Linked DNA regions of Ovis aries. The protein of the gene in region 1 purifies or fractionates together with the protein of each later gene. This does not show direct contact. Links are inferred from orthologs where the notes say so. Each region holds a gene or a part of one and is shown in the gene's direction. Other genes may lie near its edges.

Evidence for each region.
Region 2: the proteins of MAP3K14 (region 1) and CAD purify together in Homo sapiens (affinity purification with mass spectrometry; 3 studies listed by BioGRID and IntAct, with this or other methods). This does not show direct contact. The link is inferred for Ovis aries from reciprocal best matches to the Homo sapiens genes MAP3K14 and CAD.
Region 3: the proteins of MAP3K14 (region 1) and IKBKG purify together in Homo sapiens (affinity purification with mass spectrometry; 6 studies listed by BioGRID and IntAct, counting the BioPlex papers as one, with this or other methods). This does not show direct contact. The link is inferred for Ovis aries from reciprocal best matches to the Homo sapiens genes MAP3K14 and IKBKG.
Region 4: the proteins of MAP3K14 (region 1) and HSP90AB1 purify together in Homo sapiens (affinity purification with mass spectrometry; 4 studies listed by BioGRID and IntAct, with this or other methods). This does not show direct contact. The link is inferred for Ovis aries from reciprocal best matches to the Homo sapiens genes MAP3K14 and HSP90AB1.
Region 5: the proteins of MAP3K14 (region 1) and NFKB2 purify together in Homo sapiens (affinity purification with mass spectrometry; 6 studies listed by BioGRID and IntAct, with this or other methods). This does not show direct contact. The link is inferred for Ovis aries from reciprocal best matches to the Homo sapiens genes MAP3K14 and NFKB2.
Region 6: the proteins of MAP3K14 (region 1) and TIMM13 purify together in Homo sapiens (affinity purification with mass spectrometry; 3 studies listed by BioGRID and IntAct, with this or other methods). This does not show direct contact. The link is inferred for Ovis aries from reciprocal best matches to the Homo sapiens genes MAP3K14 and TIMM13.
Region 7: the proteins of MAP3K14 (region 1) and CDC37 purify together in Homo sapiens (affinity purification with mass spectrometry; 5 studies listed by BioGRID and IntAct, with this or other methods). This does not show direct contact. The link is inferred for Ovis aries from reciprocal best matches to the Homo sapiens genes MAP3K14 and CDC37.

What each region holds. Positions count from the first base shown.
Region 1 is NC_056064.1:44,656,667-44,660,467, reverse strand, and holds part of MAP3K14 (mitogen-activated protein kinase kinase kinase 14), read left to right. Parts: intron 1-2,828; coding exon 2,829-2,958; intron 2,959-3,187; coding exon 3,188-3,319; intron 3,320-3,772; coding exon 3,773-3,801.
Region 2 is NC_056056.1:34,315,832-34,319,632, forward strand, and holds part of CAD (CAD protein), read left to right. Parts: intron 1-572; coding exon 573-755; intron 756-900; coding exon 901-1,005; intron 1,006-1,434; coding exon 1,435-1,674; intron 1,675-1,918; coding exon 1,919-2,000; intron 2,001-2,268; coding exon 2,269-2,435; intron 2,436-2,594; coding exon 2,595-2,759; intron 2,760-2,902; coding exon 2,903-3,034; intron 3,035-3,223; coding exon 3,224-3,425; intron 3,426-3,770; coding exon 3,771-3,801. UniProt on the Homo sapiens protein: Multifunctional protein that encodes the first 3 enzymatic activities of the de novo pyrimidine pathway: carbamoylphosphate synthetase (CPSase; EC 6.3.5.5), aspartate transcarbamylase (ATCase; EC 2.1.3.2) and dihydroorotase (DHOase; EC 3.5.2.3).
Region 3 is NC_056080.1:79,920,101-79,924,468, reverse strand, and holds the start of IKBKG (NF-kappa-B essential modulator), read left to right. Parts: upstream 1-1,314; 5' UTR 1,315-1,407; intron 1,408-1,723; exon of another isoform or gene 1,724-2,528; intron 2,529-4,368. UniProt on the Homo sapiens protein: Regulatory subunit of the IKK core complex which phosphorylates inhibitors of NF-kappa-B thus leading to the dissociation of the inhibitor/NF-kappa-B complex and ultimately the degradation of the inhibitor.
Region 4 is NC_056073.1:17,733,134-17,737,539, forward strand, and holds the start of HSP90AB1 (heat shock protein HSP 90-beta), read left to right. Parts: upstream 1-1,497; 5' UTR 1,498-1,597; intron 1,598-2,938; coding exon 2,939-3,085; intron 3,086-3,397; coding exon 3,398-3,604; intron 3,605-3,698; coding exon 3,699-3,858; intron 3,859-4,005; coding exon 4,006-4,139; intron 4,140-4,256; coding exon 4,257-4,406. UniProt on the Homo sapiens protein: Molecular chaperone that promotes the maturation, structural maintenance and proper regulation of specific target proteins involved for instance in cell cycle control and signal transduction. Undergoes a functional cycle linked to its ATPase activity.
Region 5 is NC_056075.1:22,795,598-22,798,645, forward strand, and holds the end of NFKB2 (nuclear factor NF-kappa-B p100 subunit), read left to right. Parts: coding exon 1-50; intron 51-139; coding exon 140-353; intron 354-506; coding exon 507-676; intron 677-791; coding exon 792-894; intron 895-1,022; coding exon 1,023-1,174; intron 1,175-1,304; coding exon 1,305-1,374; intron 1,375-1,609; coding exon 1,610-1,782; intron 1,783-1,895; coding exon 1,896-2,007; intron 2,008-2,105; coding exon 2,106-2,230; 3' UTR 2,231-2,389; downstream 2,390-3,048. UniProt on the Homo sapiens protein: NF-kappa-B is a pleiotropic transcription factor present in almost all cell types and is the endpoint of a series of signal transduction events that are initiated by a vast array of stimuli related to many biological processes such as inflammation, immunity, differentiation, cell growth, tumorigenesis and apoptosis.
Region 6 is NC_056058.1:18,946,941-18,951,229, forward strand, and holds the start of TIMM13 (mitochondrial import inner membrane translocase subunit Tim13), read left to right. Parts: upstream 1-1,621; 5' UTR 1,622-1,672; coding exon 1,673-1,792; intron 1,793-1,884; coding exon 1,885-1,953; intron 1,954-2,123; coding exon 2,124-2,222; 3' UTR 2,223-4,289. UniProt on the Homo sapiens protein: Mitochondrial intermembrane chaperone that participates in the import and insertion of some multi-pass transmembrane proteins into the mitochondrial inner membrane.
Region 7 is NC_056058.1:12,789,599-12,794,140, reverse strand, and holds the start of CDC37 (hsp90 co-chaperone Cdc37), read left to right. Parts: upstream 1-1,630; 5' UTR 1,631-1,725; coding exon 1,726-1,827; intron 1,828-4,542. UniProt on the Homo sapiens protein: Co-chaperone that binds to numerous kinases and promotes their interaction with the Hsp90 complex, resulting in stabilization and promotion of their activity. Inhibits HSP90AA1 ATPase activity.

The sequences.
Region 1 (3,801 bases):
TGGCTTTGGCCAAGTCCAGCCAGCTGTTGTTACCAAGCCCCTGCTCTGTGCCAGATGCTAGGCCCGGGCTGGGGACAGAGGTGTGGGGTCCACACACCTGACCTGAAGGAGCTCGGATTGTAACGGGGGTGGACACTTACATGGTGGAAAGGTGGTAGAAGCAGCCATCAGCCGGGCACGTGGGCAAAGTCAGCCAGGATGAGTGTTGAGGAAATCAGCACAAGGACCAAGAGGAGACTGTCTCCATGACGATGAGGAAATAAAGGACCAAACTATCTGCCTCTCACATATGATTGTTCCTGAGATCTTTAAAAGAGCTTGTAGAATTGCTTTTATTCCCTTATATTTACTGGTGAAAGAAAATGAATATGAATACTAAAGAAAACAAGAGGGAGTGTTCCAAGAAGGAAAGAGAGACCCCTGGTATAAAGCGTGCGGGCAGTTAAGCAGAGGGAAATGGCCTGTGGATTTGGCAGTTAGGTGATTGCTGACCATTCTTCCACCTGGGCATGCATGCTCTTGAACTTCAGTAAAAAATGTCCAGGATGTAAAAGCTAATACCCCTGGAAAACGGCCTTCAGCAAGGTATGGAGCTGGCAGCTCTGGAGTGAGGCTTACCCCCGCCTGAGACCCCAGCTCTGCCCCTTCATATCCCGTGACCTTGAGCAGGTCACCGGTCTGATCTTCAGCTTCTTTGTCTATAAAATGAGATGATATCACCTCCGAGTCTATTGTAAGATGCAAACGATGAATAAAGTTCTGAGCACAGTCCCTGGAATCTGTTAAGTGGGCATTAAATATTAGTTCTCATTAACATACTCATCAGAGTCCAGCCCTCACTGTACAGATGAGGACACTGAAGTCCAGAGAGAAAAAGGTGGCCAGATGGGCAGCTGGCCTGGATTAGAAGGGCAACCTTTCTCCCTTGAGAGCATCCTTTCAACCTGCTCTCCCTGGAGCTGCCCCAGACTTCTAACACACCTTGTATTTTGAAGTGTCCCTTCCAACTCCCTTTGATCAAAGTGGTTGGGAAGGGTTTTAATATCACTGGGGTACTCTGAAAGACTTACGAATTTCTTCAGAATTAAAGCCTAAGCTTCCAGACTTCCTTGGTTCACAGCCCTTCATGTCATTTTTTCAAGGTGCCCCAGACTAAAGCAAGTTTCATCTGTTAAATAATTGGGTCAAGTAATAAGTCTTTATCCTAACAATCTAGTAACCCTTTGCATAACAACACACATAAATGGAAAGATAAATTTCCTTCTTAAACAACCATAATTACTAACGGAATGTATATCCTGTTGGGCACGCACAACTTCTCCACCTTTGAGATCACTGGACACCATCCCTTCACATCCTGCTCCACACTATCCCCCTAAAGAACCTTTTTGTCACAGCAGCCTCCAAAAACCTACCTTCATAAAGATACATCCTCAAAAGAATGCAGTGCAGCCATGGAAACTGAACTATCTCAGGCTAGTAGTCTAGGTGGTGTTCCCAGATGTCACCATCACTGTTCCCCTTGTGAGCTCTCTGTGGTGCGCGCTTCACCTCACAGTTTGGGAGCAATAGGGTGAAAGACATTTGCTAATACAAGTCCTGTCGACAAATTAGTTCCAATTCAGGTTCAGAGCTGGAAACACTGACAGAGAGTCAAAGTTCGTGCAAGATGATCAACCAGATATTCTGCAAGTAATCAGAAGAGAGACATTTTCCACTGATAGGCAAAAGTCCAAAAGCCGCACAAGTCAGCAGGTCTCCGAAGAAGACTGCCAGACCCTGACCGACTGCTTCCTGGCTAGTGTTGTTACCACTCCCGCCCCCTGGTGGCACTTCTCGGGGATAACAGGCAAGCCAACTGCAGCCGGAAGGAAAAACAAGTCTCTATTATAGGAAGTATAAGCATTTATTAAGCGGCTCTCATTTGAGCTGGAGGGAGGAGGCAGGAGCTACCATACCTGAGCACCCACTGAGGCCTAGTGCTGGTTATCACCCCTCCAAACCGCTGCCCTACACAGGAGCAGAGGCCACTGCCCCCACCATTCACACATGGCTTAGAGGAAGTGATCCACCTTTGGAAACTGCCAAGCCAGGGTCTCAGCCCGGGTTGCTTGTATCCAAGGCCTATTTCTTTCCTCCATGCCACGCTGGTCCCTGCAGAGGAGTGGGTGGTCCCCAGCCTGCCAGTCCATTGCAGGCGGGGCCTGGGCCAAGCCCCTCCCCGTAGGAGAATCCTCTCCTATGCCCAGATCCCGGGGAAACAGCTGCAAACAGAATAAACAAGCACTGTTGCATCTACATGGACATTTTAGCCCTCAGGGGGAAAGGCAAACAATTATCAGCGAATACTAAGTGCTGAGAAGGATGCTGAGGATCCAGAGGCACTGACAGAGCCAGAATCTTGGCTGTCCCAGCTCTGGCTACAGAAGCATCTTAAGACGTGGATGTTGATAAACAAAAGGTCCCATAACCTAGAAACTGTCCGGACATTTGAGCTGGGGGGAAGGAAAGTTCTGTGTTCAGCAGATCTGAGGGTGAGCAGCATGCCAGGGGCCTGGATAAGGACTGTCGTTTTTGTGTGACTGTTTCCATAAACATCAGCACTGTAGAACTTTAGTCAAGTGCTAGGCATTGACCCTGACCGCCCCAGGGTTCACGCTTTAGTTTCTAAGTGTCCAGCAGGCCCTTCAGGGCCCTGCCTGGCCTCAGAATCATCACCAGGCCCATCCATGGTCTCCATGTAGGGAGCTCCAAGGGTCCAAATAGGAACCCAGGGAACCAACCCCGGACCTTCAGCTTGACTCCCACCCACCTCTGGGCCCTTCTAGGTGCGAGTCGAAGTATTTCGGGCCGAGGAGTTGATGGCATGTGCAGGATTGACCTCCCCCAGAATCGTCCCTTTGTATGGAGCTGTGAAGGAAGGGCCTTGGGTCAACATCTTCATGGAACTGCTGGAAGGTAAGGAGCCAGGGGCCACTCTTACTCCCTCCAGAGTCAGAGCCAAGAGTTTCTCCAAGTCTTGCCCAGGTTAACCTTGGTCCCCAGTCAATCCAGTTTTAAACCCTTGACCTCATGACATCAGCAAGAAAGGCCTGCTTTCTACCACCTGCCGTTTGAAGTCTCTTGCCCTTGGCTGACTTGGAGGCCTGGAAGAGCTCCATGTAAAGACCAGCCATTGATCTCCTAGGTGGTTCGCTAGGCCAGCTTATAAAGCAGAAAGGCTGTCTGCCAGAGGACCGGGCCCTTTACTACCTGGGCCAGGCGCTGGAAGGGCTGGAATACCTCCATACCCGCAGGATTCTACACGGAGATGTGAAAGGTGAGGCCCAGGGCACCCGTGGCCCTGGTCCCTGTTGGGCTCCTACCTCGCCCCATCATGCCTGCTTCCTCCCAGATCTTCTGTGCCTGCATCAAGGTGGGTGGGCTGAGGAAAGGAGAATGTGTTCTCCCAGCCCTCAGCCTGGCACTGTGACTTCCAGTGGCTGATGCCCACAGGGAACACTAATCAAGCTCCTGCTTACTGGTGACCATGGGAGGGGAGGGTAGCAAGGCTGAGTGGCCATATCCCCTCACCCTCTGAGAGCCTGCCTGCTGCCTGCCTCCAGCCTGAACTGATCCCCGCCTCCCCCCTCCCTCCATGACTAATGAAACTAATCAGAAGCTGCAGCTGCCACGTAGGGTCAGCCAGAAAACTGCCCCGCCGGAGGTTTAAATTGGGCCGGGGCCCTCGGTGACTCACCTGTTCCTCTTCTTCCCCGGGGTGGCCTGGCAGCCGACAACGTGCTCCTGTCCAGTGATGGG
Region 2 (3,801 bases), on another chromosome or scaffold:
GGGAGGCAGATAGCAGGAGGGAGTTCACCTGCTGCCCAAGCTATGTGCCCATTGACGAATAAAGTGAGCACCTCCTGTGGGCAAGGCCTTGCTGGGTGGTCAGGGAATAAGATGGCCCTCCTCCCTGAGGAGTGTCCACTCTAGTGATGGGAGGCAAGAGAAGTTGGTTCCCAAACAGCTTGCTTCTAGAGGTTCCCAAACAGCTTGCTTCTAGGATAGCATGTGATAAAATTGCAGAGTAGAGACCGAAGTGAAATGCTCACGGAGGTGCCACTTCCACAGAGGGTGACCCGGGAAGGTTCAAGAAGAAAGGTGGTGTTTGCACTGAGCCTTGGAATATAGTCAAGGTTTGAGATTTGCCGAGCTTGTTGAGGAAGTGTTCCAAGGCTAGGGAGTAGCCTCGTGGAGGCCAAGGGAAGCGCAAGCCTGTTTGGGAAGTAGCCAATGATTGGCGGGTTCATGTAGGGCAGCACGGGGAAGGCTCACCCTGTCTGGAGAAGGCCAAGAGAGGAGATCATTGCCACCCCTCCTGGTGCAGGGATGTGGGCCGCTCTCACTTCCTGCTCCCTCAGGTGCCCCAGTTCTCGTTCTCCCGCCTGGCGGGGGCTGACGTGGTGCTGGGTGTGGAGATGACCAGTACTGGGGAAGTGGCTGGCTTTGGGGAGAGCCGCTGCGAAGCCTACCTCAAGGCCATGCTCAGTACTGGTTTTAAGATCCCCAAGAAGAACATCTTGCTGACCATTGGCAGCTATAAGGTAAGAACCCACGTTGGGGGTGGGGGGGTGGAGGGTAGGGTGGGCCCTGAAGAGGTGGGGGTGGGTACAGATGGCCACTGCTCCCTGGGCCAGGGCTAACTTGAAGTGGAGGACAGGAGAAACAACCTCATCCTCCCTTCTTCAGAACAAAAGTGAGTTGCTCCCAACTGTGAGGCTGCTGGAGAGCCTGGGCTACAGCCTCTACGCCAGCCTGGGCACCGCTGACTTCTACACAGAGCATGGCGTCAAGGTATGGGGTGACCCCCCACTGCCCGCCCGCTGAGATATAAGAACACCCGGATTCTCTCCTGTTTCCCTGCTTTCCATGTCATTGTACGAATCATCTGTTCCACGTAGAACAGTAGAGTATACAGAAAAGCAGAGAAAAAAAAATCCCTCGTGATCTTTCCACCACTGTTAACATTCTGGCATATTTCCTTCCATGATTTCCTCTGTGTATTGTGTGAGCTCCATACTGCAGAATCCTTGGTAACCATAGTGTAAAGATTTTCTGGTCAAGAAAAATGCTTTGCCTGCAGTAAAGTGAAGTGGCCTGGTCCCTCTCCTGTGGGTCCTCAGTTTCTTCCTCGGCTCCTAGGCCACCTCCCCCCTCCCTTCACGCTGGCCTCTTGGCCCCCTGCCAGGCTCAGGTTGCTCCAGTCTTGTCTCTGGGCTCCAGGTGACGGCTGTGGACTGGCATTTTGAAGAGGCAGTGGATGGAGAGTGCCCACCACAGCGAAGCATTTTGGAGCAGCTCGCTGAGAAAAACTTTGAGCTCGTGATTAACCTGTCCATGCGTGGGGCCGGGGGCCGGCGTCTTTCTTCCTTCGTCACCAAGGGCTACCGCACGCGGCGCCTGGCCGCTGACTTCTCCGTACCCCTCATCATTGACATCAAGTGCACCAAACTGTTTGTGGAGGTAACTGAGACCCTGGGCGCCGGGACTGGGGCAGCCAGTGTCAGCAAGGGAGGAGGCAGAAGTGAGCATGCTCTGGGGCTGGGAAATCTCTTCATGGAGCGGCCTTGCTAGTCATCAAGCTTTGTGGCTGCAAAGAGAGAGGATGGATGTAGAGAGGAAGCCTGGTTTATGGGAAAACCCAGGCCCCATCTGCAGATCCCAGGCTGCCCTTTGATCTTTGCTGACCCTGATTTTCCCCCCGCAGGCGCTGGGACAGATCGGGCCAGCCCCTCCTCTGAAAGCGCATGTTGACTGCATGACCTCCCAGAAGCTCGTGCGGCTGCCTGGTAAGTGCATCTCGGGAGAGAACCTGGCTCCTGTACATCAGTAGGGGCTGTGGTGAAGGACGGCTGTGGGGCCCACTCAGCCCTGGACTGTTCAGAGTGGGAAGGGCCCAGAAGCTTACTCACTCTGAGCTCTTTATTCTCCATCCACGATGCCCCTGACTGAGAGCTTCACCACCTCTCACTGGTGTCAGTCGCTGCTTATTTTCCTACCTTGATGCCCTTGAGTCTCTGACTCTCCCTCCAACCTGCTGCCTGTGTGTTCTCCCAGGATTGATCGACGTCCATGTGCACCTGCGGGAACCAGGGGGGACACACAAGGAGGACTTTGCCTCGGGCACAGCTGCTGCCCTGGCTGGGGGCGTCACCATGGTGTGTGCTATGCCTAATACTCGGCCCCCCATCACCGACGCCCCTGCCCTGGCCCTGGCGCAGAAGGTGAGCCCCGGTTCTCCTGCTTCCTGGTGACCCACATCCCCCACCTGCCTCCCCCACCTCCCTCTACGCTGCTCCCTCTACCCCTCCCCAGGGGCCAGGCCACGTGAGCCAGGCTGGCACAGGTGCCGGTGGGCCCTATCTCGAATGTATTCCTTCCAGCTGGCAGAGGCCGGCGCCCGCTGTGACTATGCCTTATTCCTCGGAGCCTCGTCGGAAAATGCAGGGACCCTGGGCACCGTGGCTGGGTCTGCGGCGGGGCTGAAGCTCTACCTCAACGAGACCTTCTCTGAACTGCGGCTGGACAGTGTGGCCCAGTGGATGGAGGTAGGGGGTGGGTGGGGGTGGGGCCAGCCAGCCAGTGCCCCTGGTTTGAGGGCCCCCTCATGACAGGCTGGAGGCAGTGTGAGTTGGGAGCCCTGCAAGGGCTCGGGCGCTGCAGGGTCCCGGAACCTTCCTCCTTTCCCCAGCACTTCGAGACATGGCCATCCCACCTCCCCATCGTGGCCCACGCCGAGCGGCAGAGTGTCGCAGCCGTCCTCATGGTGGCCCAGCTGGCCCAGCGCTCTGTGCACATCTGTCACGTGGCACGGAAGGAGGAGGTGAGAGCCCCAGGGGCGCCCCTGTGGCTTTCCCAGTGACTCCAGGTGATCAGGATGGTCCTTGGGGGCAGGGGCGGCTCAGCACGCCTGCCCCGTGACTTTCCAGGAGGGGAGGTTGGCTGCGGGGACTGTGCAGGTCAGGGCCTCGAGGGACAACCCCCACCTCGAGGTCTCCCCACTCTCCCCCAGATCCTGCTGATTAAAGCGGCAAAGGCACGGGGGCTGCCGGTGACCTGTGAGGTGGCACCCCACCATCTGTTCCTGAGCCGTGATGACCTGGAACGTCTGGGGCCCGGGAAGGGGGAGGTTCGGCCCGAGCTTGGCTCCCGGGAGGACATGGAAGCCCTATGGGAGAACATGGCCGTCATCGACTGCTTTGCCTCCGACCACGGTGAGAAGGCCCGGGACGTACCCCCTGGCCCAGGGGATCTGGGCCAGGACCTTGGGCTCCATGAGGCCTGGGCTTGGTCTGGGTGGGACTCCAGCCAAGTTCCTGGTCTATCATAGGCGCTTGATAGGTATTTACTGAGAGAACGAATGAGCAAATGAGGAAACAGTAAATGAGAGAATCTGGGTGGAAGGTATGGGCCCTGAAGAAGGCAGCAGTCCCAGCTTCCCTGTTTTCGGATTCCCAGGAAAAGCTAGAGTCTGGGTTGGTAGTGAAGCCTTTCTTGGTGGCGTGTGTGACTCCCCAGCATGGAGGCCACTGTCCTGAGGGTGGTGCTCTCTCCCCCAGCCCCCCACACCGTGGAGGAGAAGTGTGGGCC
Region 3 (4,368 bases), on another chromosome or scaffold:
GAAACACTTGCACCAGGGTTCACAGCAGCCATAATTCCCAACAGCCCTGAGCTGGGACACAGTGAAAGGCCATCAACAGGGGATGGACAAGCTGGATATCTACACAGTGGGACACCTACTCAGCAACACCAAGGGATGAGCCAGGGGGATTCCCTGGTGGTCCAGTAGTTAGGACTCCACCACAGGGGTTTGCGGGTTTGATCCCTGGTAGGGGAACTAAGATCCTGCAAGCCACGCAGGGGGCAAGAACAAAGATTACAAACCAAGAAAAAAGGGATGAGCCAGTGGCCTACTCAACACAAGCAATTCTCAGAACCAGAATGCTGGACACACAAGGCTCAACACCCTGAGTTCATTTAAGGGAAGCTTTAGAAAAGGCAAAGCAGCCACAGTGACAGAAGTGAGAGTCCACAGCAGGAGGTGGACTGGCTGGGGAGTTGGAAACGTTGCCTCTGGTTATAAAGGTCAGAACCGATTGGACAGAGAAGATGTCTTTCGATGTGTACGAATGTTGCCTACAAATAAAAAGACTGAAAAGAACAACTGAGCAGACGGCGGGCGGTGCTTGCTGTTGACCATGTGAAACTTTCCAAGATAATGGCAAGTGTGTGAAGACAGCAACTGTGAGCAACAACATTGTCATCCCACGAAGTCACCCAGTCCCTTCTCTCCAGGCCGGTTTAGCTGCCATAGCCACGGCTACCTGCTTGCTTTTGGTGACCTGACAAAGGAATTCTCCACTCTGGGTGGAAGAGGTGGTGAGCCTGGGCATGGCCTGGGTGAAGAGCAGGTGCCCTTTTATGCCCCCTGCCCTGTCATCAGTGAGGGCTGCTGGGCAGAGCTGCTAGACTCGCCCCGGGCAGGAAAATCACCTCCAGGGGTGAGGACCTGAGTCTTCAGGGCAAAATGACCCTTTAAGAGTCATGTCAGCACTGGACGCAGTCACATCTGTGGACTGTTGCAGAGAGGAGCCGCAGGACCAGAACCGATTGCAATCTGCACCCCTAGACGGGCCATGAGGACGGTAGTTGGGGAGCTACCAGGTGGGTGAGTCCTCCCCTGGCTGGGGGCGATGGGGGCCACTTTTGAGGCTAGCATGCTCAATCCCCATTTGTGGCTTCACCCTCTGTCTCCTGGGCTGAGCCAACATCTGCACGTGGACAAGTCTGCTCCGGCCCAGGTCTTGGCTAGTGCCCAGCCCACACGGGCCAGTGTCTCTCCGCCACCTCCGGGCTCTAGCGGAACCTGGAGTGCTCCAGTGGGTGGTTCCCAAACCAGGGTGCCCTGTGTTGCAGCCCCCGCCCCCTGTCTGCCAGCCACTTAGAACTGATTGCTGAAGGCTCTGGAGCAGGGCCCCCTCCTGCCGGCCACCTTCCCTGGGAAGCCTGGAGATAACAGCGCCTCAAGGTCAGTCACTGATCCCTGGCTGGGGTCTCCCTGGAGCCCAGCTGCAACCCCTGTGGCCCCTCTCCTCCCAGTGCCCAGCAGTGCCCGCTTTCCGCTGACCCCTCCTGTTGCGGGGCTCCAGCAGGAGAAGCCATCAGTCCCCTGTCGGCGGGCACCTCCTGGCCCAGAGGAATGTTTGCTTCCGGTCAAATTCCAGTGGGTTAGTGTCCTGTCTGCTGAGTCACGGTGCCCTACACCCGACTGCCCTCACCGGTCCATTTGGGATTAGCAAGGGGTGGAACCTGCTCGCCTTGTTCAGCTCAGCCCTGCCACCAGCGGCCTGAGTCACTCACCCAAGGGAGGAGTGAGGTAGGACCCAGACGGGGGTGGGGGCACAGAGGCCTAGGAGGCCCCCCTACCCAGCAGCCTGGGCCTGGTTGCACTGCTGGAGGTAACATGGGCTGAGAGCACAGTGCTCGTGGGGTCTGGAGGAGTCTGGGGCCACGTGGTGACTTAGCAGCAGGAGCAGGGCCTGCTGCAGATTTCCAGCCACCTGCATCTGGCCTGCCAGCACCCTGATCTTATCTCAAGTCTCCAGTTTGATGAGCCCTTGGTCTCGAAGGGTGTTAGGGTGGAGCACGTGACAGTAGAAGTTGGGAGGCCGGGCAGGGGTGGGCTCTATCCCCCTCGAGGCAAGATCTGCCTGGCCTCCCTCCTGGGCCGCGGGGCTCATGACTCATCAGCCCTTTGGGGGAGCGCCAGAGTCACCGTGACACAGCAGGAATCTTATCGCCCCAGGAGGTGAGGCGGCCCAGAAGCACCCCCTGAGGAGAGAGGGCCCGGGTCCTCCAGCTCAGCCCTGGCAGGACCCCGTCTCTGGGCTGGGCCCTGGAGCACTCATCGAGCCCATGGCCCAGATGGGGAAACTGAGGCCCAAAGGCAAAGACCGCCCTGCAGAACCTGCACTGAGCCACTTCTGCCCGAGGGGGCTCCTCGGCCTGATCTTTCTCTCATCTCAATCGCTCTGTTTCCATTGGGGGTTAGAGTGGCTCCAGCCTGGCAGGCCCAGGGTTCCTCTCTCAACACTGGTCTGGAAGGAGAAACGGGGTTCCTGGGTTCCAGAGGCCTCCAGACCAGGTCCTGTAAGTACGTCCACTGCCCTCCTACTGAGGGTGGGAGTCTGGAGGAGGGAGTAGGGAGCGGCTGCAGCTACAAGGCCATCAGGTAACTCCTCAGGCTGGCCTTCGGACGGGGCGGAACCTGGGCGCGTGGGTGCGGGGTTGGGCAAAGCCGGCAGGGAGGAGAGGGGCGGAAGACAGCTCATCCTTTTTGGAGTCGCAGGCTCCGCTCCGAGGCCCTGGCTCTGCGGACCTTGGCGCCTCCCAAGGCCTGGGGTGTGAAGGCCTGGCAGTGTTTGCTGTCACATGCACTCACCTTCAGGCCCAGCCCCCAGGCACGGCTCCCACAGTGGGGGGGTGGGGGGGCCTCAGGGCAGGTGCCTGCTGTGCTGTGAACTCCTTGGTCTCCCAGAGTAACAGGTTTGTGCCGCCTGCCTGCCTCCCACATATCCCAGCAGGAAGGGGAGAAACAAAACAACAGAAAAAACAGGCTCTACTTCAGAGGCCCTGGTACTCCCCCACCCCCCGCCCTGCTGGCTGCAGCTGGCACTTCCTCTTTCTGCCCTAGAAGCCTCTGCTGATTGCTCTTGGAACAGAGAAGAGCAAAGGGGAACTACTCGGGTTGCAAAGAAACAATGTTGCCCAATGCCAAGGCCACCACACGTGAAGGCAGGGAGGAGTCACCAAATCAGCTCAGCAGAACCCTGGGGCCCCTTGGTGCTCCAAAGACTTCCATTGCCAAGTGGAGACTGTGGGGTTGAGAGAGGAGGAGACACTTGGCCCAGGCCACAGAACACACTTGGATGCTCTCACTGAGGTGGTTTAATCGGAGTTGAGGATCTAGGGTCATAGGCAATTTACTAAGGCTGGGGACCCTCTGCTGGAATGTCTTGGGACAGGCTGGGATGGGGATGGGGGAAGGAGGAAAAATAATCCTGAGTAACTTTCTCTGTCAACCTATTTCTTGGACCAACTCCGAGGTGTTAAGCTTTCTGGTGCCTCGAGGGATGAGGCTGGGGCCAGGGTGGGGGCTAAGCTGCCCCCTGTGTGCCCCTCCTGGGCATCCTACAGTCTTGGGGTGATAAGACGGTCAGGGGAGAGTTTCGGGCAGCCTTCCCTTCCTTCCCAGCAGCACAGCCCTCCTCGCGCGCAAAGCCCCCTGCCCTGCATTCTGGCTCTTTTTCCAAGTTTTGACCAGAATCACACAACTGGCAAGAAACACGTTCTGCAAAGGGCGGTAGCTTGTTATGATACATGAATGAAGAGCTGAATTCCTCTAGAGCTGAGGGGAGAGGGGTGTGGAAGGGACAGAGAGACCATGCCTGCCCTGTCAAGAGCTCACTCGCTTGGCAGAACTCTCGCTTCAGGTTTATACAGTAAGTCACCACCAGAGATGCTCGTAATCCTGGGGAGCGGATTCTTGGTCCCGTCCAGGATGAAGAGTTTCCCTTTGAGATGAAACGTAGACAGCGTTCCAGCCGTTTCTCATGTCTTGCCACTGGGTTGATCTTATTTCCACGTGGCACATGGAGAAAGTGCTTTTAGTTGGGGGGGCCGGTCATGGCTCTCCAAGGACCCACCCACCCTCTCGTGTTCCACCCCCTCCCAACATGTATGGTCAGCACGCTCTGTTTCTGCCTTTGCTTCTAGTCTCTGGCCTTTCTCATCACAGCAAAGTGGCAGTTCCACTGGCTGGACAATGGGGCTGGTCTCAGCTCCTCGGGAGGCCTTGGAAGTCGGGGCAAAGAGATGGGGTTTCAAGAAGGGTCAAGTGTGTGTCTTTGGGGACCGTGAGGGTAGACAGACAAGGTCGAGATCGGGCCCTGGATCCTACCTCTGGCACTGACTGTGTGACATCTGTCAA
Region 4 (4,406 bases), on another chromosome or scaffold:
TCCACAAGGTCACAGCGTAGGGAGGGGCCATTCTCTCCTGGAGGGTATCTGCGTTAAAGGAGGCTTCAGAAATAAGGCCTTGGAAAAGTAAGGCCAGCTCACCAGCTGGAGAGCACGCAAACGTGGCAGAGACAGCAGAGAAGGGCGTCCCTCTGGCACTCCCTAGGCAGGTCCATGGCCTTGAGGCTCCTGGGCCACAGCCGAAGGGGAACGACTTGCTTCTGGCACCTGGATGGGGCCACACTCTGACCAGCGTCCTCATGCTGCCTCCAAGAACTCCTGCCACCCTGCAGGAGTCCTGGGAGACCGGACTCTTCCCAGATCTAGGCAGCTGCAGGAGGAGGGAAGAGGGTGGGGAAAAAAAAGAAAAAGGAAGCCAGACTGAGAAACAACTCGATATTCAAGTCTCTGCGCTCCCTCACCTGTGGGCGGCTGGGGGTTGGGGGTGGGAGCGGTCCGTCGGGTAAGCGACCGCATCCCCAGTGTCTGCTCTCGGAAGGCGGCACCCTCAGAGCCGCCCCACCGGCCGGTGTGCTGTGTGATCGATGGGGGGAGAAGTGGGGTCATCCCCGCTCCACCCCACCCGGACGCAGTGCCCGGCTAGCTGGGTCTGGCGGGTAGGGTAATGGATCCCCTCTGCAGTTTCCTGGAGGAAATGTAATGAAGGTATAGCCTACTTGGACACCAGGATCCCAGCAGTGCGGTTGAGGGGCGGAGCCACCGCGGAGGCACAGCCCAGGCCGCAGAGGGCGGGGCGGGGCCTCAAGGGAAGGGGCGGGGCAGGGCCGCCCCGGCCGGTCTGGAAGCTGCTGGAAGTGTCGCAGCGCCGCCGCCCTGGATCCTTCCGCCGCGTGTGCAGTCAAAGAGTCCCCTGGCCGGCTGGAGCCAGCGCCCGGCCCGCAGCCGGAGCCACGCCTCGCCGCGAAACGCCGGCCCGCCGCGGGAGGGCCTGTATTCCAGGCATGCCCACAAAGTGGGACCTTTAATTCCGCAACGCCCGCGGAAAAGAACCCTTTCCCGTATCAGGCAATTAGAGTATGTGTAGGGCAGCTTCTAATGAGGAGGTCGAGCCTCGGAGCGTAGGGGGGAGTGGGTGACCCCTGTTTAGGCTTGGACCTTAGTCCCGAGGCTGGGACTGTCAGGAGTGGAGATGCCTGCCCTGCAGGTTTTCACAGAGGTCAGTGGGGAATCCTCGCTTCTAGTTCCACCGTTTATGTTATATGATTACTCCCAACATATGTTTCTGATGGTGTCCTGTTTTAGGAACGCGGAGACGGGGCTGTGAACAGGAGTAAATAAGTGTACTTGATCTCAAGGCCGGCGGCTCCCGCCTTTCAAGGTCCCCTCCCCTATTTTGGACCGTGACGTCAAGGTGGGCGGGCGGGCGGCGGCAGGTGCGCGGCAGACAGGCATCCTCCTTTAAGGCGGAGGGATCCGGGGGCGGGCAGCTGGGCGGTGCTTCGCCTTATATAAAGTGATTGGGGGCACACAGCCGTTCTCTCGAGTCACCCCCGCGCAGCCTTCTTGTGGCGAGTGAGCCCGAGGAAGCCATTGCCTGCTCGGTGTTCTCTAATACCTGTGATTGTTATCCTTGAAGGTAAGGCTCCTGTCTCATCTGGGCTTTTCAGATTAGCTTGTTCTTTCGCGTTGCTTTCGGCCCACGCATCCTTTCCGAGACCTACATCTCGTGTTGGGACCGGTTCTGGCGTAACGCTCCCATTGCTTCTCTTGGGGGAGGGCTGGGAGCGAGCTTTTGAGTTTAGACTCTATGTGATTGGCGGCGGGGCTGCTTTCCCGCAGCTATAAAGCGTTGTTTCGTGGGGCCGCAGAATGGGGCGGGGGGGTAGGCACTGCACGTGGTGGCCGCGCCGGCCCGGGACGCTGCCATGTTTGCCTCTCCACTTCCGGACGCGGCTACGGGGCGCCGGAGGGTCCCCGAGCCGGGCGGGTGGGCGCGCCCTCTGTGACTCAGCAAGGCTGGTCATGACCAGGTTTTGCCACTTGTTCTATCGGACACAATTTTTTTAAAGTCCTTTCTTTCGGGGCTTTTCCGTGAGGCTCTGCGAAGAGCTCCGTTTTCGGTCGCCGGCGGCGTATGTCGTGCTTCCTCCATCCTTCCAGATCTTTCCTGCGTCTCGGTGGAGGAGGGGCTGGCGAGCGGAGGGGGCAGGCTTTGGGATTCGTGGGCACGTCCCTTCCCCCGCCCCTCTCCGAGAACTGAGATTGTTCTGGAAGCTTCTGGAGCCCGGCGCCCCGCCCTGGTGCCCGGATGTTGGGGCGAAGGGAGGCTGCGCGGTGGCGCCCCCTCCTCGCGTGGTCGACGCATGTCCAGCCGTGACGAGAGTCGGCCCCGCAGACTAAGGCCACCATCTTAGTGTTTGGTTTGGGCTTGAGCTTCAGTCACGTGTGCAGAGAGGTCACGATGGAGCCCTTTCTTTATCGGTTCTTTGTCTTGATAGCCCACCTGGATGGGCATTCCGCCAATCTCGAGTTAGCTGTCCCTACTACGGGAGGCAGCAGTACCACATTATCTCCTTGGAGTTACCTAATGGGAGGACAGTTTTAAATGATTGCCCTTTAATGTGAAACTAATTACTTTGAAGGTGGAACGATAGTAATTTGCGTATTTAAATATATGGGAATTTACCTCGCTTTCGAGATACCTGGGTTGGAGTGCCTAACTAGATTGTGCTGATCTATGATTCACTTAACAGGAGTTTGGGTTCACAATAACTTGCAAGAAACATTAGCGCAATTTGTTCAGTGTGTTAGGTGCGCCCCTCCCCCCGTTGTTTCTAAGGGTGCTGCCTGAAATTGATAGAGGGAAGGATTTTCCAGTCTTTGTACCCAGCTCAAAACAGTTTGAATAGAGTCTCCTTAAGTGTATTGTGGCTGAGGGTGAACTTGAGGAGTCTTAAATTCTTGCTTTTTATTTTAGATGCCTGAGGAAGTGCACCATGGAGAGGAGGAGGTGGAGACATTTGCCTTCCAGGCAGAAATTGCCCAACTCATGTCTCTTATTATCAACACCTTCTATTCCAACAAGGAAATTTTTCTTCGGGAGTTGATCAGTAATGCTTCTGATGTGAGTGCCCTGAATGTCTTCATTGACGTTGGTTTTTTGTTTCTCAAGTACTCCAAGAGAGGGAAAGTGGGGGTGGTTTGGCATTTTGTGGTGTTAACTGATAAAGGGGGGATATAAACTTAACTGCTGTTCCAAAAAGTATTGCCTTGCTCTCTGTGGATAGATGGGATACTGTAACCCACTGGATGTCGTTCTCAACCTACAAGCTAAAGGAGTAATCAGAATTAGCGTATTTGGGGAGTTTAAAAAACTTTTTGGGTGAGATGGGTTTTGAGGAAGCAGAATTGTAAAACTGCAATTTTGTACTTTCAGGCCTTGGACAAGATTCGCTATGAAAGCCTGACAGACCCTTCTAAATTGGACAGTGGTAAAGAGCTGAAAATTGACATCATCCCGAATCCCCAGGAGCGTACTCTGACTCTGGTAGACACGGGCATTGGCATGACCAAAGCTGATCTTGTAAATAATTTGGGAACCATTGCCAAGTCTGGCACTAAAGCATTTATGGAGGCTCTTCAGGTACGTGGTTGGTTAGGCACACTCCATTTATATTATTGGTGTTTGCTTTGCCATTTCTTTGAAACTTGAGTTTGACTTTTAAACTTTTTGGCAGGCTGGTGCAGACATCTCCATGATTGGGCAGTTTGGTGTGGGCTTCTACTCTGCCTACCTAGTGGCAGAGAAAGTGGTGGTGATCACAAAGCATAATGATGATGAACAGTATGCTTGGGAGTCTTCTGCCGGGGGTTCCTTCACTGTCCGGGCTGACCATGGTAAGTTGGCTTTCCTGTTAAGGTGTCTGGATTAGCATTCTGGGGAAACACTAATGAAGATCTTGAGTATTGTATGTGTAAAGCAGTTATAGTTCTGCGTTTGTTTATTTAGTTTCTTATATTCTGTTCTGATTAATTTTTTTCTAGGTGAGCCTATTGGCCGTGGTACCAAAGTGATTCTCCACCTGAAGGAAGACCAGACAGAATACTTGGAAGAGAGGCGGGTCAAAGAAGTGGTGAAGAAGCACTCTCAGTTCATAGGCTATCCCATCACACTTTATGTGAGTATGGACTGGTAACTCAAGTGCAGGTAACTGCTGCTTGAGAGAATTGCATGGACTTTGGGGTTTTTTTTTTGCTTTTTTGTACTCTGAAACTGTCATCTTTGATACTTCTAGCTGGAGAAAGAACGTGAGAAGGAAATCAGTGATGATGAGGCTGAAGAAGAGAAAGGTGAGAAAGAAGAGGAAGATAAAGATGATGAAGAGAAGCCTAAGATTGAAGATGTGGGCTCAGACGAGGAGGATGATAGTGGCAAGGATAAGAAA
Region 5 (3,048 bases), on another chromosome or scaffold:
ACCACGCCCCACACCTCGGCGTGGTTAATATCACCAATCATTTGCACCAGGTGAGGGGTCTCTTGGTGAGGGGGAGGGGTTGGAAGTCAGATAGGTGAGGCAAGGAGCAGGCCTGGCTCACCCTGCCTGCCTTCCCCAGACGCCCCTGCACCTGGCAGTGATCACAGGGCAGACGAAGGTGGTGAGCTTCCTGCTGCAGGTGGGCGCAGACCCAGCACTGCTGGATCGGCATGGAGACTCAGCAGTGCACCTGGCACTCCGGGCAGGTGCCAGCGCCCCCGACATGCTGTGCACCCTGCTGCGGAGTGGGGTTCCTGCCATGCCCCAACTGCTGCATGTGCCCGACTTCGAAGGTGAGTTCATCACCTCATCTGAACCAGCGGGCAAGAGTGGGCACCAGGGAGAGGATCTGGGGAGCGCCTACAGTGGATGTGAGGTGTGGAGGTCAGCTGGTCAAGGGCTCACATTAGGGGCAGAGCTGCGGGCTGAATACCCTGTATCACTAGGGCTATACCCAGTCCACCTGGCAGTCCGTGCCCGAAGCCCCGAGTGCCTCGATCTGCTGGTGGAGAATGGGGCTGAAGTGGAGGCTGCAGAGCGTCAGGGGGGCCGGACAGCCCTGCATCTAGCCACAGAGATGGAGGAGCTGGGGTTGGTCACCCATCTCGTTACCAAGGTGGGACTGAGGACTGTGGAAGACGTAGAGCCAAGGGCTGGGGACGGTGAAGGTGTCGGGGGAGGCCCAGTGGATCAGTCAGTGCTATGATCAACCCCTCCCTCGCACCCCACAGCTCCGGGCCAACGTGAATGCCCGAACCTTTGCGGGAAACACACCCCTACATCTGGCAGCTGGACTGGGATCCCCAACCCTCACCCGCCTCCTTCTGAAGGCTGGTCAGTCCCACCCTCGGGGGCTTATGAACAGGGCTGACGGGGGAAAGGGGGTACCTCCCAATCCCGCACTTTGCAGTCCTTAACGTGGGCTCCGAGGGAGCCTCCCTGTGACTATCTCCCTCCCCCAGGTGCTGACGTCCACGCAGAGAACGAGGAGCCCCTGTGCCCACTGCCTTCGCCTCCCACCTCTGGTAGTGACTCAGATTCTGAGAGCCCTGAGAGGGACACTCGAGGCAGCTTCCGGGGCCACACACCTCTTGACCTCACTCGCAGTAGCAAGGTGAGGCCAGCCCAGGACTAGCAGTACCAGGGGATGGGGCATCCGGGCTTGTACATGGGGTCCTGAGTAGCTGGTACCTGGGGTCAAGTACTGTGATGGGAGGTAGTCATGGCTGAAGCTGTCTCCCTAGGTGAAGACCTTGCTGCTAAACGCTGCTCAGGACACCATGGCGCCGCCGCTGACCCCGCCCAGCCCTGCAGGTGAAGAGCTCTCCCCCACCACTGCCAGACCCTTGACCCCTGCTCACAGCGGTCTCTTATCCTTCGGGACCACTGAAGGAGGTCTCCCTTTCTCCATCCCCATCCTCCATCCACTGCCCCAGTGGCCCCGCCTGCACTATCTATCAGGTTGCCTTGAGATAAAGGTGACATTTGGGTGTCTTGTCTTTGCCATCTCTGGGGGTAACTAACATGTTTATGTGTGTGTCCCCTTCAGGGCCAGAGATACCCCTTGAAGATACAGTCCTACAGAACCTGGAGCATTTGCTTGACGGGCCAGGAGCCCAGGGCAGCTGGGCGGAGCTGGCAGAACGGCTGGGGCTGCGCAGTCTGGTGGACACGTATCGAAGGACAGCCTCGCCCAGTGGCAGCCTCCTGCGCAGTTACCAGGTCAGTCAGGCCCCGGCCCATGCTCCATGCCCCAGTCTCAGATCTCTGGCGCTTCCTCAGGGATCCCACACCCTAACCACAACTCCTGGTTCATGCCTCCTCCTTCTCCTCAGCTGGCTGGTGGCGACTTGGCAGGCCTGCTGAATGCCCTGTCTGACATGGGCCTGGAGGAGGGGGTGAGGCTGCTGAAGGGTCCAGAGACCCAGGAAAAGCTGCCCAGCACAGGTAAAGGGGCCGTAACTGAGAGGTGGATCTGGGCTTGGAGGGTGGGAGGCCTAAGGCCTGACGCTTCCCTGCACCCTTTCCCGCGTCCACTCCCCCAGCAGAGGTGAAGGAGGACAGTGCCTATGGGAGCCAGTCGGTGGAACAGGAAACAGAGAAGCTGGGCCCACCCCCTGAGCCGCCAGGAGGGCTCTGCCACGGGCGCCCCCAGCCTCAGGTGCACTGAACCGCTCCCTACCCACCAGCCCCTTCCGGGCCCCCTCTGTACAGTGACCCTGCCTGTTCCAGTTCTTATTTAACACCCCATGCCCACCCTTCAGTTGGGGCAAATAAAAGATTCTCATGGGAAAGGGAGGGGGCCTGGCCTCCTCCCCAACTTACAGCAGCCCCTGATGTGTGTGACGCTTGTCCTCGGGAAGCAAATGCCTACCCTGGCCTCAGGCCAGGCACGGGAGAGAGGAGGAGGCCCAGCCAGCAAGTCGAGAGCAGTTTTAATGGAGGTGGAGGTGACACAAAGGGCAGGGCCCACTGAAGGAGGGAAGCAAGGCTGCACTGCCTGGCCTGTGCACGGGGCCTCAGCTTGGACATCCATCCTCCTCCTCTGGCAAGGGAGAGGGTGAGCCCTCAGGGCAAAAGGAGGGAAACCAGCTCAACCCCAACTCCTGGCTTGTGTCTGAGCCAGGCCCCAGGATGGAGGGGGACTGCTGGTGTCAGGGGTGGGGGTGGTCTCAGCAGAAAGCAGAAACGTCAGGTCTCCCCCACAAAAAAAAAAAAAAAAAAAAAGGAGCATCAAGAGTCCAGGGGGCCTGGCCCCTCCCACCCCCATCCCCTGTACGAAAAAGTGCAAAACATTATCACAAAAAAGGGGTCTCAGAGGGGCCCTTAGCCTAAGGCTCCTGAGGCCCATGCCCTAGCCCTGCCCTGCCCCGGACACCGCGTCCGGCGCGGTCAGGCCCTGGACCGAGAGGCCCTCACAGGTGGCCCGAGGCCGGCCCGGGCTTAGGCAGGGCCGTGTCATGCAGGTGCCCAGTGGGCACCGCCCCC
Region 6 (4,289 bases), on another chromosome or scaffold:
CTCACCAGAAAAATGGTGCAGCCCATGAGAAGCTTCCTGTCCTGACAGCACGCTCTGTACCACGCCTCCCTCGCCCCCCACACCCTGCCAGGAGTGCTTCCAGGTGCAGGCTGCTCCCTTCCCCTGGCATAACGAGCTGAGTGGACTGGAGGGTCTGGAGAGTGGGATGGGGTCTGGGTGGTCCTGGGGTGAGTGGAAACTGCATTGGTCTCACCCACACCCTTCAGGGTATTTTGGAAATCTCTGGGGATCGAAGCTGTGTCCTGGAATTCTGGGTGTGATGCAGTTTTGCAGGCTGGGCTTGAGGACTTCAGGAAGGAAAAGAGAGGGCCCCACCCTCCCGGCAGGCCCAGAGGGCCTAAAAAACTGCCTCGGTTTGCCCAGTGCCTGCAGAACCCCCAGGCTTATTAGATGACATCTTGATTTAGCCAGTTCTTGGTCTCATCCCTGCCCAGTGGTTGCCTGGCTGAGATCTTGAGTGGAGCCTGGAAGTGGCCCTGGCAGGCTGGGAAGCCCTTGACTGGTAAGGGGAGGGTGCGCTGGACCGGTGGCCACTTGTGGCTGGAGGTTGGTGGTAATTTGGTAATTATCAGTCTTTGGTAATTAAGTAGTTGGGAACACAGGACAAAGTCCAGTGTTACAATGTCAGCCTTGGCCTGAAAATTTGCATTTTTCCTTAAACATGCTTAACTTTAAGCCACTTGAAATGATGCAGAAGCGATTCTTTTTTTCTGAGCCGTGTCATGTGAGGAGAAGCACCCTTCTAGAAAAACAGCCACTCGGCCCAGCCCTCGGAAGGGACCGAGTGCCGGGGAGACACGGATACCTTTTCCCCGTGGTCTGGGCGCTCAGTGTTCATCACAGCCAGGCTCTGACCTGGGCTCGTTTTTACCACACCGTCTACCCAGCAGTTCTATTTATATCAGCACATCCGAGCGGGGACTGCCATTCCTCAAGGATATTAACGCTATTGGAAAGGTCTTAATTCCAAGCCCGAAAGGGATCATCAGCACTACATGCCAGGGGACTCAAGTTTCAGCAACTGGCTGTCTAAACACATTTCAGATGGTGATTTTTAAGATGCATGCCAAACGTGTGATCTTTTGTTTCCTCCAATGATTTGTAATATACATTTTAAGACTGGAAACTTTTTTGTACAACATCCAATAAAACATTTTGGTTTTAAATTCTGCCCGTGAGTTATTACTCCCACGCCAGGCTGCCGTAGTAGTAGCCTAAGCCACTTAGTTAAGCGGATGTCTTAGGACCCCCATCTGACCTCGGACCGCTAGTTTTCTGCGTTCCCCCATCTGATGCACCGACACCCCGCAGCGCTCTTGGTTCCCTAATACAGCCTGGAGCTACCAGGTCTGCAAAGCGCAGGGTAAACGCGCCCATCGTCCAGTGTGCACGCCCTGCGGGACCTTTGGGGGTGGAGCCTAAGCGCGGAGGTGCGGGCCTTTCAACCCCGGAGTTCGACACGGGAATCCGACTTCGGCCCGTTCCTCTCTGCGCGTGCGCGGGATGTTTCGCGCAGCCTTATGGGAGTTGTAGTCCGGCTCCTGCTCCCACCCACTGGAACTCCATTTCCCGTGGGGCCCTGGGGCAGCGGACTTCCGGCGTGAGTGCGGGTCGGCGCACGCGGCGGCGGTCCGGTTGACTTTGCGGAGCCATGGAGGGCGGCTTCGGCTCCGATTTCGGGGGCTCCAGCGGCGGGAAGCTGGACCCAGGGCTCATCATGGAGCAGGTGAAAGTGCAGATCGCCGTGGCCAACGCGCAGGAGCTGCTACAGGTCCGGGGCTGGCCGGGGGCGGGGTGGGGGACTAAGGGCTGCGAGATCCGCCGGGGCCGGTGTCGCAACTGAGGGCTCGCGTGTCCCCACAGAGGATGACGGACAAGTGCTTCCGGAAGTGTATCGGGAAGCCGGGGGGTTCCCTGGACAATTCGGAGCAGGTAAAACCAGGGGTGGCGGGGTCACGGGCTGGACCCGGTGGGGTGGCCTCCGCGCGTGCGCTGACTTAATAAAGAGGCGTGGAGAGTATGCTGCGCGTGCGCAGTCCGCTACCGGGGCGGGGGCACCAGCAGCTGTCCAGACCTAAGCGGCTCGCCCATTCCTTCCCCAGAAGTGCATCGCCATGTGCATGGACCGCTACATGGACGCCTGGAACACCGTGTCACGTGCCTACAACTCGCGGCTGCAGCGGGAAAGAGCCAACATGTGACCGCGACGCGCCAGCAGACCAACCCCCCAACCCTTGCCCTACCCCCGGACCTATTTCCATAAACGCTGTTTGTGAGGCGGGGTCCTGCATGTGCGTACTGCCTACCAGAAGTTTATGAGGACGACATTGGTGCTGGGACCGTTGGGATTCTACCCGTCCTTTCCGCCTAGCCTCCCACCTGCTAGCCGGTGTAGCTTGGGTTTTGGTAGGGGCGGCCTTGGCTCCGGTGCCACCTCCCTTTGTGCGCCTGTTAACGGATTAAGTCGTATGGACCGTGATGGGGCCTCAACCCGGCTTACACTGTCTGCCTGGGAGGAGGGTGCTGGTTGACACATCACAAGCTTTATTCAGCGGCCAGAGAATGGAGAAGCTTGAACTAGTTCAGGGCTGAACTTGACAACCCCCTGGCGAGAGGGATTTAATTTTAAAGGGAGGAGTGAGGTCAGTGATGGGGAGCCATGTTTATTAGTTTACCTGGGAAGGGGCAGGGCTTTTTTGAGGAAGTGGGGGACCACCTCCTTTTTATCCTGTTTTGGTCTTTTAATGTATGGTACTGGCTGCTGGGAGGTGTGTTGTTTAATATGTTCATACAGTAAAATCAACATGTAATGAGATGCAGGGGCTGTTGGAGTTTGGATTGCTGCCAACTTGGTCTCAGCTGGTTCCACTTGTTTTTTTCTGTGTGTGTGTGTGTAGAGGGAGCACTTCCTTTTTTATCTCTGGACCCTTGAACTTAAAGGTTTATGTTAACTCTTGCTAAACGTGGGGAGGGGCTGTGGTTGGCAGGTTTTGAGCAAATTCCTGGCTTTCCCCTGGCGACAAAGCCTCCCCTTTTCTTGTTACTGCTCCTCATTCTTGAGGGGCACTGGAGGACAAATGGTCTGACTTCTGAAGCTGAGGCTGTTTTTTGCTGAACACATGGGTGTGGTTGTTCCCTAGTTGAGGGGGGCAGAACTGTTCCCTGATGAGCCTAAAATATGTGTGATGGTCACCAGGCTGCAGTCCCATGTACTTGCATCCTTGCATTCGAATCGTCCTGAAGTTTGATGACTTAAAGCTGTTCACTAACGGAAGTTGAGGAGGCAATTAAAGAGGCCCGCCCAGAGATGAGCAGACAGATGATAGCAGTTAGTGGGTAGAGAAATGGAAGAAGCCAAGCTAAGCCAAGGAGGCCTCTGTTTGACCAAATGGAGCTTGGATTGGATTTTGGAGTGTGTTATATCTGTGTAACCACTGAGCTTGCTCATACCTGTGTTTTGTATTTACCTTGATCTGACCGGAATTATTGACACCCATGTAGCAGGTCTTAACTGTGCAGACTTCCCCTTCCTCAGGTAGGAGATAATCAAGGGGCAGCCTGTTGTCGAGAATATTTGCTACTAAATCCACAAGCTTTGAGGCATGGTTTTAAAAAAAGGGGGTAATTTAAGGTCTGTGGCAGGTTCACTAGTATATTGAGTGGGTGGCTCAATAACTTCTTTCTCAGGTGTAGATGATGTCACTTTGGTATGGTGGCCCGTGGAGTCATGCCCTATAATCATCAGAGTGGGTGGTCGAGATTACTTGGAAAGGTCCTGCCCACCTAGGGTCTGGGCTTCCCAGGTGGTTCAGTGGTAAAAGGATCCTCCTGGCAATGCAGGAGATGCAGGTTTGATCCCTGGGTCAAGGAGTTCCCCTGGATGAGGAAATGGCTACTCACTCCAGAATTCTTGCCTGGAAAATCACACAGACAGAGGAGTCTGGCAGGCTACAGCAGCGCCTGGGGGGGGTCTAACTGGTCTTCTGGATTTCCAGCTTCCCAGGTTCTCAAACCCAACCCCCAGGGAGGACAGGATGTGAAGTGATGTCCAGGCAGGCAGTTCCAATCCCGTAGGTGTGTACAGCTCTGACTCTCCCCTCTTAAGGCATGTTTCAGTGCGTCCATCTCCCTGAGGTGGGTTTTGGAGCTGGGGGGGCATCCCTCACATGCCCCCATGTGGACCCCACCTGTGTGACCCTCGGGGGCTGTCCACGTTCTCACAAGTGCTCTAGGGGACGGAGAGCCAGGGCAGGTGAGTGTCTGGACAT
Region 7 (4,542 bases), on another chromosome or scaffold:
CCTCAACCGGCTACGTGGGGGGCCCTGCCTTTCTTGGGGAGCGATGGAATTCCCCCTTCCCCGCCCGGAGCCTCTCCCTCCCAGGGGCCAGGTCCCCCTCCCGGCCGCAGTCGTAGTCCAAAGCTTACCTTGCAGGGGGGCTCGGGAGGGGATGCCCCGCCCTCTCCGGCCTGGGGGGCGGGAGGGGACCGGGGTGTCCAGACCCTTTGTTTGCCGGGGTGTGTGTGTGTGTGTGTGTGTGTGTGTGTGTAAGTGTGAGATCGGGAGCCCCGCTGGGATGTAGGTCCGTGCGCGCGCGTACCCGGGCCTTGACGGCCGCTGTGATGCTGAACTGCCAGGGTTGGAGGAGGAGGAGGAAAGGGGGACTCCCCCGCCCCCGCCCGCCTACTCGCGGGTTTGAATGGACCGTGAGGGGGAGGGGCAGCGGCGGGCGGGCGCTTTTGTCCGGATGGCCCCACCCCTTCCCGGGGCCGGGGAATCCCCCACACCCCACCCATTTAAAGACCTTTACTCCTTCCTCTCCAGCGCCCCCCCAAACGCCTGCTTGGTTGGGGGGAGTCTGGAAGAGGCGCCCTTCACTCAAGTGGCTGAATCTCTACCCATTCTCCCTGTCCCCCGCCCTGCGCCCTTTAATCTGAGATAATCCTGGCCCTAGGCTGCAACGCAGCCTTTTATCCCGGTATCAAAGCGTGGGTAGGGATACATGAAAATGTGTGGCTGCGGTCGCCCAAGCTCAGTGTAATAGAGTTCTTAGAGTCTGGAACGAGGAAGGGGATCCCAGACGAAAGAGGGAGGGACTGCGAGGAGTCCCAGAGTACCTCGACGGAGAAAGACCCCCTGCGTGCGCACTTCCAAGCTCTTCCACCCCTCCCCCACCTGGCGCGGGGCACCCGCACTGGCCGCTAGTTAGACACTAGCGACACCCAGCGGATGCATGGGGAGCCGCCGTAGACAAGCTAATGAGGCCCGTTAAGTGCGGTCGGGTGATTCCAGAGGGGGCGTGTATGCGCGAATCCCCGCTAAGGAGTGGCAGAAGATGGGGGAGGCAAGAGGGGAAGCTGTGGTCCGAGCCAGGGAAACACCAGGTCTCAAGGCAGGGCCACATCGCCCCCATCTCGACTCCTCGAGGGCAGGGCCACAACCTTCCTTCACTTAGACCCTCCTAGAGCAGGGCCTTGTACCCCTTGTACTGGGAAGGTCCTTTCCCATCAGGCACCATCTCCAGGACAAAGTTAAGTCCCTCTTCACAAAAGACGGGAGCGAGGTCTTTTCGCCGAGGCCGAGCCCCAGTAGTGGGCTCAGGCTGACGTCACTGTGGCGTGGCTAAGAGGACAATCCTCTTTTTCAGTCTCGCCAACTGCCCCCTCTCCCAAGGCTGCCGTAAACGCCCACCGTGGGGTAGCGGGAGATGAGGGGGGCTCGAGGTTGGAGAACCCACCCGTAATTCCCCAGGAAGGGCCTAGTGGAGGCCGGAAGCCGGATGGGGTGAGGTCTCAGCGGACTCCCGAGAGCCGGAACACGTGCGCAGGGCTCTTTAAGAACTTGGTCGCCAGTGCCGCTGCTGAGGTTACTAAGGATGTGACGTCACGCGAGGGAGGGGTGTAAGCGTCAGGGCGGAAGCGGAAGGGGCGGGGCTCCGCGGGCTGTGTCTCAGTGCTGCCGCTGCCGCCGCCGCCGTCGCCGCCACCGCTACCAGAACCCTGGAGGGCTGGGCCCCGAGGCAAGATGGTGGACTACAGCGTGTGGGACCACATCGAGGTGTCTGATGATGAAGACGAGACGCACCCCAACATCGACACCGCTAGCCTCTTCCGCTGGCGGCACCAGGTAGAGCTCGCGCGCCCAGCCCCTTCCCCCACTCCCGGGACTCCGCTTCAGAGTTCTGACCCCCTGATACTGCCGGGGGGCCCCAGCCATTGATACCTGGGATTGCCCCCTACAGCCTGGACTTTCCGAATAGCCTAGGGTTCTTCGATTCAATTCCGGGGCCATAGAATTGCCGGGACCCCTGAGTTCCTTGCCCGCGATGCCGGCGCCGCCCCCCCCCCCCCACCCCCACCGCCCCGCGCTTCCAGTTTCTTCTTGAAACGCCAGGTTGACCTGTACGGTATATTTTTAGAATTTAGACTGCCAAGACAAGCTTTTGACGTGCCTCCCAATCCTGCTTGGGATCTTCCATTTACACCCAGATTTCTACCTCAGAATCTGGATCCTGAACCTAGTCGGGTACCCAGTTAAGATCTTGGCTGTTCCATGGCTCCTCCTAACCCCTGTGCTCAGTCGCTTCAGTCGTGTCCAACTCTGTGACCCCATGGACTGTAGCCCGCCAGGCTTCTCTGTCCGTGCGATTCTCCAGGCAAGAATACTGGAGTCGGTTGGCATTTCCTTTTCCATGGGATCTTCTCGATCCAGGGATCTTTTATGTCTCCTGCATTGGCAGGCAGGCTCTTTACCACTGGCCCCGTCTGGAAGTCCTCCAAAACCCTAGAGTTCCCAATAGTTTAAGTCTGTTCTGCGACCTGCTTTTCTGGATCCTTATGGTTCAGATCCAGAAGTCTTACTCCTCTGAATAAAATAATTCTGTCTTCCCCTGAGATTTCTGTTCCTGGCTTGGGACTCCAACCCACACCCAGGACCCCTCCCCTAGAACAAAGATTGGTACCCCCTCCCCCCAAGGCCCTCAGTCTCATCTAGGCCTGGAATTTTGAAACTTGGGTCCTGTTCAGAATGAACCACCACCTCCACCCTGATGGAGCCTCCAATTCCGGAGGCTCTTCTTTAGCCTCTGGTACTGTTAGACCCAATTTCCCATTACATCAGGAAACCCTACCCACGTGGCTTCCTGCCCAGCCAGAACCCCTGCCCCTCCTTGGTACCTCACACCCAGTCCCCGCCCACCCCCAAGACAGACTTCCAGTGGGAACCTTTGCCAGCTTCAGAATGCCACATTCAAACCCAAGTCCAGGACCCAAATCCATCCCATCTCCCTTCTGACCCAAACTTGGTGTGCTATTCTCAGACATCCACAATGACCCTGCTGTTACAAGGAACCCACCCATCCTGATTCCAGATTCACCGCCCCTTCTTTTATCTATTTTCCCCCAAATACAGACCCCCAGAATCCCAAGTCTGTATGTTCTTTCGACAACCTGCAACCCCCCCCCCCACCCCCGCAGCCGCTCAGCTGTGCTCACAGACCAACAGAATGGCTCTCCTGAGACCTTGTGTGCTAACTTCTTGCTCCACCAACTCAGAGCTCCTACACCCACATTCCAGGGGCTGCTTTGCTCTCACACTTATGGAATATACCTTCTAGAACTTTCCAGTTAGGAAAACCTCATTCTGTCTTCCCATGTATCAGCTTGCAGTTGTTTATCCAGAAACACCTAGAAGCGCCCTTCCTCATCCTGCTGAGACACAGTATCCGTGCCTACATCTAGTCCCAGTTCTGGGTCCAACCCATTACTTAAAGCAGCAGCCTCCTGGCTAGGGCTTCCCTGGTGGCTCAGATGGTAAAGAATCTGCCTGCGGTGCAGGAGACCCAGCTTCAATCCCTGGGTGGGGAATATCTCCTGGAGTAGGGAATAGTGACCACTCCAGTATTCTTGCCTGGAGGGAGAATCCCATGGACAGAGAAGCCTGGTGGACTACAGTCCATGGGGTTGCAAAGAGTCGGATACGATTAAGCGACTAACCCTTTCACCTGGCTAGTGTACCTGGTGGGAAAGCCACTGGAGTGGAAAAAGAAAGTTCTAGTATTTCTCTCTTGCCATATGTGACATTTTATGATGAAATATTGAAGCTCTCCGCAAAGCTTTAAAGCTCATTCTCGGGAACACCTATTCTTGTCACGAAGTTGATCTCTATCACCAGGTTTGGTCCTGCTGGTTTGGGAGGCCATGCCCGCTCTCATACAGCATCCTCCTCTCACCACGCCCTACTCCCTCCTGGCGCAAAACCTTTCCCTGTCCAACCGCTGAGGACCCAGGGCTGTCGTGGAGATGAGTGGAGGCAGGGAGCCTGGTGTCTCCAGCACGAGGTTCAGCTGCCAGTGACTGGCAGCCTGGGCTCCAGCCCTGCCACAGGACCATCACTGCTTTGGGGGAGCGAGCCCTCCGCCTCCATGAGACTGTCGTGAAAATGAAATGAGATTAGATCTTGAAAGAACTTGGCTCGGCGCCTGGGAGGAAAGAGTAAGCAATACCAAGAGTGGAAGAGGGGATTAGCCAAAAGGTAGCCTGGTACCCTTGTGAGCGCAGGCCTGCCCGACTGGGTTCATATCCTGCTCCTTCTGCATATCACTGACTTGCTGTGATCCAGTGAGGGTTTTTTTTTTTTTTTTTTTTTAATTAATTTGACCGCACAGGGTCTTAGTTATAGTGTGCTGGATCTTTAGTTGCAGCATGTGGAATCTATTAATAGTTCCCCGACCGGAGATCGAACTGGGGCCCCTTGCATTGAGAGCACAGAGTCTTAGCCACTGAACCACCAGGGAAGTCCCCGGAAGTGAGTTTTGATCGCTGTGTGCCTCAGTTTCCCCAG